Linked DNA regions of Zea mays. The protein of the gene in region 1 interacts with the protein of each later gene in a pairwise test. Links are inferred from orthologs where the notes say so. Each region holds a gene or a part of one and is shown in the gene's direction. Other genes may lie near its edges. The genes, in order: chitin synthase homolog 1; Putative septum site-determining protein minD homolog, chloroplastic-like.

Region 1 (4,315 bases):
TACCAACCTAAGTACAAACACACACACACATGTCGCACTCGAACATGCACTCGACACAACACAACACAACACAACGTTGTCACTACAGGACAAATCCAGCACTCCCCGAAGCAGAAAGACCGCGACCCAAAGCAAGCTCAAGCTCCCCTCTTCGGTCTCCACCGCTCGCCAACCTAGAGATATACCTCCCTTCCTACCAAAGCTTTGTCTCTAGAAGACTTCGTTGGCTCTTCCCTCGACGCTAGTGGTTGTCAGTGGTGATGGCTGGCTAGCGGGGGTGGTGGTGTTGCTGGAATGTCCACCGCGATGGTGACTGCCGCCCGCCTTCGCATGCCACTGCCAAACGGAGCCCACTACTCGGCCTTCTCGAGCCGACACCTCTTTGATTGCCACCGCCACTAACAAGCGACCACACGTTTGGTGCCCCATGGATGCCTTGTCCCACCCTGTTGTCGTCATCGACAACGACACCACGGTTGCTCATGAGTTGGAAGTGAAAAGGATTCTACAACTTTTTTGGTGTTAGGGTAAGAATTAGTGGCATGCTAAAATAATGGAGAGTGAAAATAAGATCGAATCAAAGTTATTGATAAGTGTTTCGGTCCAAAAAAACAAATGGGCTGTAAATAGATTTGATTTTTTTTTGAAAAACATTGAAATTTTTAAATCCTTAAACCAAACACGCAAGTAGTTGGCCTGACCAATCTAACTGTGGAGAGATTCTGAATATCGTGAAAATTACGTTTGGAGGAAGATAAAAAAGTCTATAGAGTTTATGATTTTGAAAGTGACAGTTTACTACTATCGCAACAAGTCGGTCGATTATATATTCACATTGATTTTAGACAGTTTTGGCTAAAGTGATTCTTATAGAAGTTAGACTCTCTTTAGTTTGAGGTGATTAAAATTTAATGACTAGACTTTAGTCACTTTTAGTCTTAAAAAAATAAATAGTGACTAAAGTAAGGTGACTAAACTTGGGTTAGAGCATGTACAACCTAGACACTGCTGCACGGTACTCCAAGTATAAGGCACAAATAAAACACAACATAATACAGTGGTCATGTCTAAAACATGTGTCTTACCATATTCATTGTAACAATCAGAACATTCAATAAATTAAAGTGATCAATCAGCTAGTCTCCTGTCTCAAACATAGAGCTAAAACACTGTGTCTTCGTCAAGATACATGTCTTGAGTTTTTTACATTCATCCACTAGACACACTCTGAGACACAATTTAAGACACCCAACCTTACACAGCCAAATCGCACAAGCGAGCTGGTGGCACCAATGCAGCCGTTCCAACTTCCTTCCAAATTCCAACGAGAGTCCAGTCTACCAGCCTCCAACACTGAGGACAAAGCGAAAAGAAAAAGGGGAAAAGGGGCTGGTGCGCAAAACCCTAGCACAGTCGCATCCATCATGGCGATGTCCATCTTCGGCGGCTGCGTCGGCGGCGACTCCGGTGCGCTCATCGCGCCGTCCGCGTCCTCGCTCCGCCCGCCGTTCCGTCTTGTCGCTGGTCCCAAGGTTCGGACTCCTGCTCGGCTGCTCCCCGTCCCATAAACCCTAGCATTTATTTAGTTTATCCTGCGTGTTTGAGGTGGAATTAGTACGAGTATGCGGCTTTCGATTGGCTCGGGAGGCCCAGTTTTCTGCGGGGAGATGCTCCGGTAGGCTGCTGGAAGTCCGCCGTGCGGTTGTTACTCTTCGGCGTTTGTGCATGCCTCTGAAGGTCCGATGGGTGGGTGAGGCTGCCTCGTGTCAGTCTGACGAATGTGCGAAGTGCATTTTTATGTTGATTGGTAGGCTAAATGTTCAAGTGCATCTTAGGAACTGGGAATGGAGGAATTAATTTGACAAGACAAAATAGAGATTTAGTGCCCACATTGGTGTGAGGTAGGCCCATGGAACACTTGCATTTCTGGAAAACGTTAAGGCCCTCTTTGAGTTTGCTTGCCCCAAACGTTTATTAGCCCCAAATGTTGAAGCCCCAAGCAAAATAATAAATGTTTAAGGCAAGCAAAATAATGACCTGTTGCGACCTTTCACTTCAAGCCGTCTGTCTGTTTTCGTTTGGTTCGTCCGGGGTTTGCCATGGGAAGTCGGAGCCACCGGCTGCTTTTCAATCTAGCTTGGAAGCGATGACTCATGGCAGTTATGTGTGCTCTTACGCGTCGTGTTGGTGGGTTAGCCCTTCGTGTGTTCAGTGTTTGCTCCACGTTGGGCTACCTTCTTGTATTTGTTAGATTTTGGGCCCGGTTTTTCCTTAAAACAGGGTTAATTCCATTCTTAATTGAGAGGCGGACCATTACGTTCAAAAAAAGGTTTGCCAAACCCTACCGGAGGGGAGAAGCTCTTTTTTTTTGTACTAGGTTGGTGAAGCCACCTAAATGTGGCTGCTCCAGATTCTGTCTTCTTAGATTAGTTGTTTGCAAAGAAGCCCGACCAAACATGGCCTAAGGATTACCTGTACTTTTAGATCTGCATTTTTCCTAGATTTGACATTTTATTATTTTGCTTGCCCCAACATTCTTGGGATGTACGTTTTTTGGATTCTAAATATCTGGGTTGATATGTAAGCATCATGTCATAGAAAAGAGGTGTCGTGTACTGATTGTCCTACCATGAATAAGTGCCCTGTATTTGATTTTTAGGTGAAAGGATCTTCTCGTCATGTTTTTATGTGTTGGCTTATATGTGCAGCTTTTGTATCCCATTTGATGGTTCTGCCCAAACTCAAAGTCAACCACTTTGTCTCCTTTCGTATTGGTCTTCTCCATAGCAATCAGTTATCAGTATATGTGATGTGTAGGCTAATTGCTAATGTATTGTAAAAAAATATAGAGTTTAGTCTGACAAAGTACCTGTAATTTTAAATTGGCAGTGGTTTGATTCCTATATTTCACATGGGTTCCCTAAGCTTGTGAGGTCGGTGTGTTTGTTATAGTGCTAGCAATATTAGCCTTGCTTAATAATACCAGACTGTCTGATTTCCATGTCTAGGTTTGCTTGGTACTGGCCGATTTTTGGGCTGTTCTTTATTTTCCTTCCCTTTGTTCTGCCTCCATCTCCTATAGTATGGTTATCTCGTTTCATACTTTGCAAATATCAGTATTACTGACACTATCCAAACCGGATGATTCCTTCTTTTCTTTCATTGACATGTTTTTCATAGTACAGTACTACATGGTAGATCTAGAGGGTATGTTGTTGGATAGGTAGTTAGAAAAGAGGAAAATCTGTATGTATAATATTGTGTATCATGTTCCTTTCAATTTCTTTGATATAAACCTCAAGTTAAGCATCGTTTGTTTTCAGTGCTGAAATGAGAAATTGCAACATGAGAGTAGACTGGCTTTGTCATTAAGATTTATAAGAGAACTGAGGCTAACTTTGTGCATATATGATGCATTCACTCGATCAAATGTGGTTTGTTTCCGCCCTGTAGTTATGTTATCATTGCTCTATTAGGTGTCTTTCTGTTCATTCATTCGATCAAATGTGGTTTGTTTCATGTGCATATTTCTTCAGTTTACAGAAGGCCTGAATGTATGCTTACTCATGCAATAACTCAACATACATGTGTGTGTATTTAAACAACTAAGCTAGTGTGGTTGTGCCACTCGCTGAACTGTTACAGTATACGGATCTGACGTTATTCAAATTACTGCAAGTCTCAGTATGGTGAGTTTAGGATTGGCAGTTGGATCTTACTGGGATTGCACTAGCTTTTGTACCATGATGTGCTCTTAGCATGTTTGCAATGAATATACTGGAATTCATACCATTTTAGTTGTGTCATGCTACAGGGCCATTTTTGTACTTTTCCTCATGGAGCATCTAGCAATCACAGCCGGCTATGTGTTCAACATCAAAGGTGTTCTCGCAGCTCCACCCAGAACTATGCTCTTTCTAGGAAGGATTTTTCTCCTATAACTCAAGATGTGGAAGGCTTCCTTCACAATGTTGTTAACATGGGTTTTCTTGACCGTCTGAAATTAGCGTGGAAGATAATGTTTTCTGCACCAACCACAAAGGATACCTCCAATGCAAACATCGCAAAACAGAGGCTTAAGATGATCCTGTTCTCCGACAGGTGTGAAGTCAGTGATGAGGCAAAGAAAAAGATCGTGGAGAACATCATTGAGGCACTGTCTGAGTTTGTTGAGATAGAATCAAGGGATAACGTCCAAGTGGATATCTCAACTGATGCTGGCCTTGGCACCGTGTACTCTGTGTCAGTTCCTGTGCGCCGTGTGAAGCCAGAGTACCAGGAATCTGAAGAGCAGTACAGAGGGAAAATTGTTGGT
Region 2 (3,824 bases), on another chromosome or scaffold:
GGGCAAAACTGGCCGCCTTGCTCGCCATACCCGCCTAGGCGTCGCCTAGGCGCCGCCTAGGCGCTAAGGCGGTTGGCTGGTGCACTTGCTCGCCTAGGCGCCGTAAGAACACTGTCCGTGACAAGTTTCCCCATTTTCAGCTCGAGGACGAGCTGGACGTCGAGGGGGGGGGGGAGAGATGTCATGTATGGGCAAACGTATAGGCGCCGTCGTGACATCACGAGTGCGGCAGAGCGGGCTGCTCACGCCACACAGGAAGGTGCCACCGTTAGTGGCCAGATTTAGAAATAAAAGATTAGTTTCCTTTCCATACCTTAAATCTAGGAGTGATTAGTTGAGATTAGTTTCCTTTCCATGCCTTAAATCTAGGAGTGATTCGACGTTGTTAGGTGCTGAGGCGCTTGACATGCAACTAATCGATTTTAGCGTTTCGGTGTCTTTAGTATTAGCATATATAGAAAATTATAAAGAAATGTAATCAACGACTTACATTCGACTAGTCACGACTAGTCAGTAACTACACGACTCCGACTCGAAAACATTGATATATATATATATATATATATATATATATATATATATATATATATATATATATATATATATATATATATATATATATATATATATATATATAGGGTAGGTATAACGGGAGCCCTGGGCTTCCAATAGTTAAAGGAAGCCCAGGCCGATCACCCCTGCAAACTGGTTCAACCAGCGCGCCCAAACAGGCTGTCGGGTGCGCCACCTGCCCCACGTCTGTTAGCGCAAAAAAGGAATGCATGCATGAGTCAAACACGATCCAATGCATGCGCATAAATTTAGGAAAGATATGTGCGGCAGTTTCTGTTTTTAAAATCCTTTATTTCCTCCATAAATTTAGGATCGCTACAACAGCCATGCAGCTAGACGCGTAAGGACCATTTTATGATATATACTGAGACTAAATATGCTACACTGTGTTAATAATTATGCAATTCGATATACTGCGTAAAAATCTGTTACCAACTGCATGCACACGAATTTATGATAAAAATAATGTGCAATGAAAGAAAATGAATTACACGCATAGAAACAAAAAATCGTATTTAATGTTTTATTTCCTTCATAAATATAAGATCCCTCCAACAGCCATGCAGCTAAAACACATTAAATCTAGTTTATGATATATACTGATACAAATTATACTACATGGTGTAGGTATTTATGCAATTCGTTACACTGCGTAAAAAATCTGGCATGTTGTTCACTGGTGGACGCACCTCCGGGTTGGAGCGTAATAACCTTAAGTTTTGAGCATAAAATCCCTCAATTATAAGCGTATATACCGAGCCAATATGAGAGGTTGATAGCTCTAGTAGGTTGTTATTACGATCCTATTTTTATGGCAGATCCGAAAAACATGGCAGTCGCATGCATGCGGTTATACAGATCCTAAAATTATGGCAAAATGCATGCATGAGTCAATCACGTTCCCTTGCATGCGCGTAAATTTAGGAAAGATATGTGTGGCGGTTTCTATTTTAAATGCTTTATTTCCTCCATAAATTTAGGATCGCTGAAACAGACATGCAACTAAAACTCGTAATGACCATTTTATGCTATATACTGATACTAAATATGCTACACTGTGTAGATAATTATGCGATTCGGTATACTGCGTAAAAATCTGCAACAGGCTGCATGCACACGAATTTATGATGGAAAGAATATGCAATGAAAGGAAATGAATTGCATGCATAGAAACAAAAAATCGCATTTAATATTTTATTTCCTTCATAAATATAGGATCCCTCCAACAGTCATGCAACTAAACGCATCAGAACTAGTTTATGATGTATACTGAAACAAATTATACTACACGGTTTAGGTATTTATGCAATTCCTTACACTGCGTAAAAAATCTGGCATGTTCACTGGTGGACGCATCTCCGGGTGGAGCGTAAAAACCTTAAGTTTTGAGCATAAAATCCCTTAATTATAAGCGTAAATACCGAGTCAATTAGAGGTTGATAGCTTTAGTAGGTTGTTATTACGATCCTATTTTTATGACAGATCCGAAAAACATGGCAGCCGCATGCATGCGGTTTCTATTTTTATACAGATCCAAAAATTATGGCAAAATCGTGGGAGTTTCCATTGCATGCGCGCAAATTAAGAACAACATAAATCAAGGAATTGTCTTTCAAATGTGCATGCAGTAAACTGATATACGAACTCTGTGTTAAAGCATAAAAACATACAGTTTTTAGCGTAAATAATACATGTGGTAGGCATAAAACACAATAAACGAAAAGAAAAATGCGCCGGATCAGAGGATGTCACGCGCGATCATCGCTGCGCGCATCTCGCCCCTTCCGTGACATCGCTCGCTCGAACATCGCGCCTCATGCGTCGCCGTCGCTACTCGCACGTCGACGGGCGTCGCTTGCTCGCCGGCCTTGGAAGTGCCGCCTCCTCGGGGCTTCGGGGACGCCGCCGCTTGCCTGCACAAGAGCCTCGCTGCGGATCGAGGAACCTCCGCCACCGCGCGTCGAGGTAATGGAGTTGCGGCCACCGGGCTGGGAATCGCCGCCACCACACAAGGGCGCTGCCGCCGCTCGCCCTCTGGATCGGGGGCCGCCACCGCTGGCCTGGAAACCGCCGCCATCGCATAAGGGCGCTGCCGCCGCCGCTCGCCCTCTGGATCGGGGGCCGCCACCGTCGGCCTGGGAACCGCCGCCACCGCCGGCCTGGCAACCGCCGCTAATGAATCGAGATGGGGCGTAAAAACTGATCCCTAGCACTACGGATTTTCTTTTATAGACGTCTGGACCTGGTTCGGCTCGACCGGATTGCACTGTCTGGCCTGGGCTTCCAATAACTAAAGGAAGCCCAGGGCTCCTAATATACAATATATATATATATATATATATATCCCCTTGGACCTTGGATTCATTGGGATGCTGATGCCAAATATTATAGTTGTCCCACATTTGTTCCTGTTGCTTGCTACAGACGAAAGGATTCCGAGCATATGATGCACTTGGCATGATTTCCATGACTATAGTCCATACTTATAATGGGATTATCAGATTTCTCAAAATTGGAGCCATTAGCGTGTAATAATATTTGTGTTAATGTGATTTGGATCCATTTACCAAGGTTTTAGTTCTGACCCATGGCATAGAAACTGTGTTAACTACAGCTGCTTGATGTTTTGTTTTGCAGGTGTTGATGCTGGGTTTGTCACTGCCATTGCACCCGCAGAAGAGGCGGTGCTCGTTACCACTCCCGACATTACGGCTCTCCGCGATGCTGACCGTGTCGCGGGACTGCTGGAGTGCGATGGCATCAAAGACATCAAGATCGTTGTCAACCGAGTGCGGCCAGACCTGGTGAAGGGGGAGGACATGATGTCAGCGCTGGACGTGCAGGAAATGCTCGGGTTGCCTTTACTAGGCGTGGTGCCAGAGGACACGGAGGTGATCCGGAGTACGAATAGGGGCGTGCCGCTGGTGCTGAATGACCCGCCCACGCCTGCTGGCCTTGCTCTGGAGCAGGCTACTTGGAGATTGGTGGAAAGAGATGCGATGACGGCGGTCATGGTCGAAGAGCAGGAGAGGCCCGAGAAGAAAGGAGGCGGAGGCGGCTTCTTCTCGTTCTTCGGCGGCAGGTGATGAGTCAAGTCAGTCTTTAGGCTGTAGATGGTGTACAGGCTCGGAGTTTATGAATGCTTTCTAGGCTAGTGCCCGATTCATTCTGTCGTTATTGTGTTGATGAGACTTGATACTACTAGTCGCTTGCATTGGACCTGAACTACAAGTTGTACTAGGCGGCTGATC

What was found.
Region 2: the proteins of chitin synthase homolog 1 (region 1) and Putative septum site-determining protein minD homolog, chloroplastic-like interact in binary tests that used the Arabidopsis thaliana proteins (3 or more experiments, as listed by UniProt). The link is inferred for Zea mays from reciprocal best matches to the Arabidopsis thaliana genes MINE1 and MIND.

The regions. Positions count from the first base shown.
Region 1 is NC_050105.1:18,841,191-18,845,505, forward strand, and holds the start of chitin synthase homolog 1, read left to right. Parts: upstream 1-1,371; 5' UTR 1,372-1,424; coding exon 1,425-1,532; intron 1,533-3,814; coding exon 3,815-4,315. UniProt on the Arabidopsis thaliana protein: Acts as a topological specificity factor during plastid division and specify plastid constriction sites (such as the Z-ring) in a MCD1-dependent manner. Especially involved in epidermal plastids division in a FTSZ1-dependent manner.
Region 2 is NC_050101.1:65,402,239-65,406,062, forward strand, and holds part of Putative septum site-determining protein minD homolog, chloroplastic-like, read left to right. Parts: intron 1-3,210; coding exon 3,211-3,659; 3' UTR 3,660-3,824. UniProt on the Arabidopsis thaliana protein: Together with ARC3 and MCD1, regulates FtsZ ring positioning in chloroplasts in an ARC6-dependent manner. Calcium-dependent ATPase required for the correct placement of the plastid division site. Inhibits FtsZ filament and ring formation in the plastid.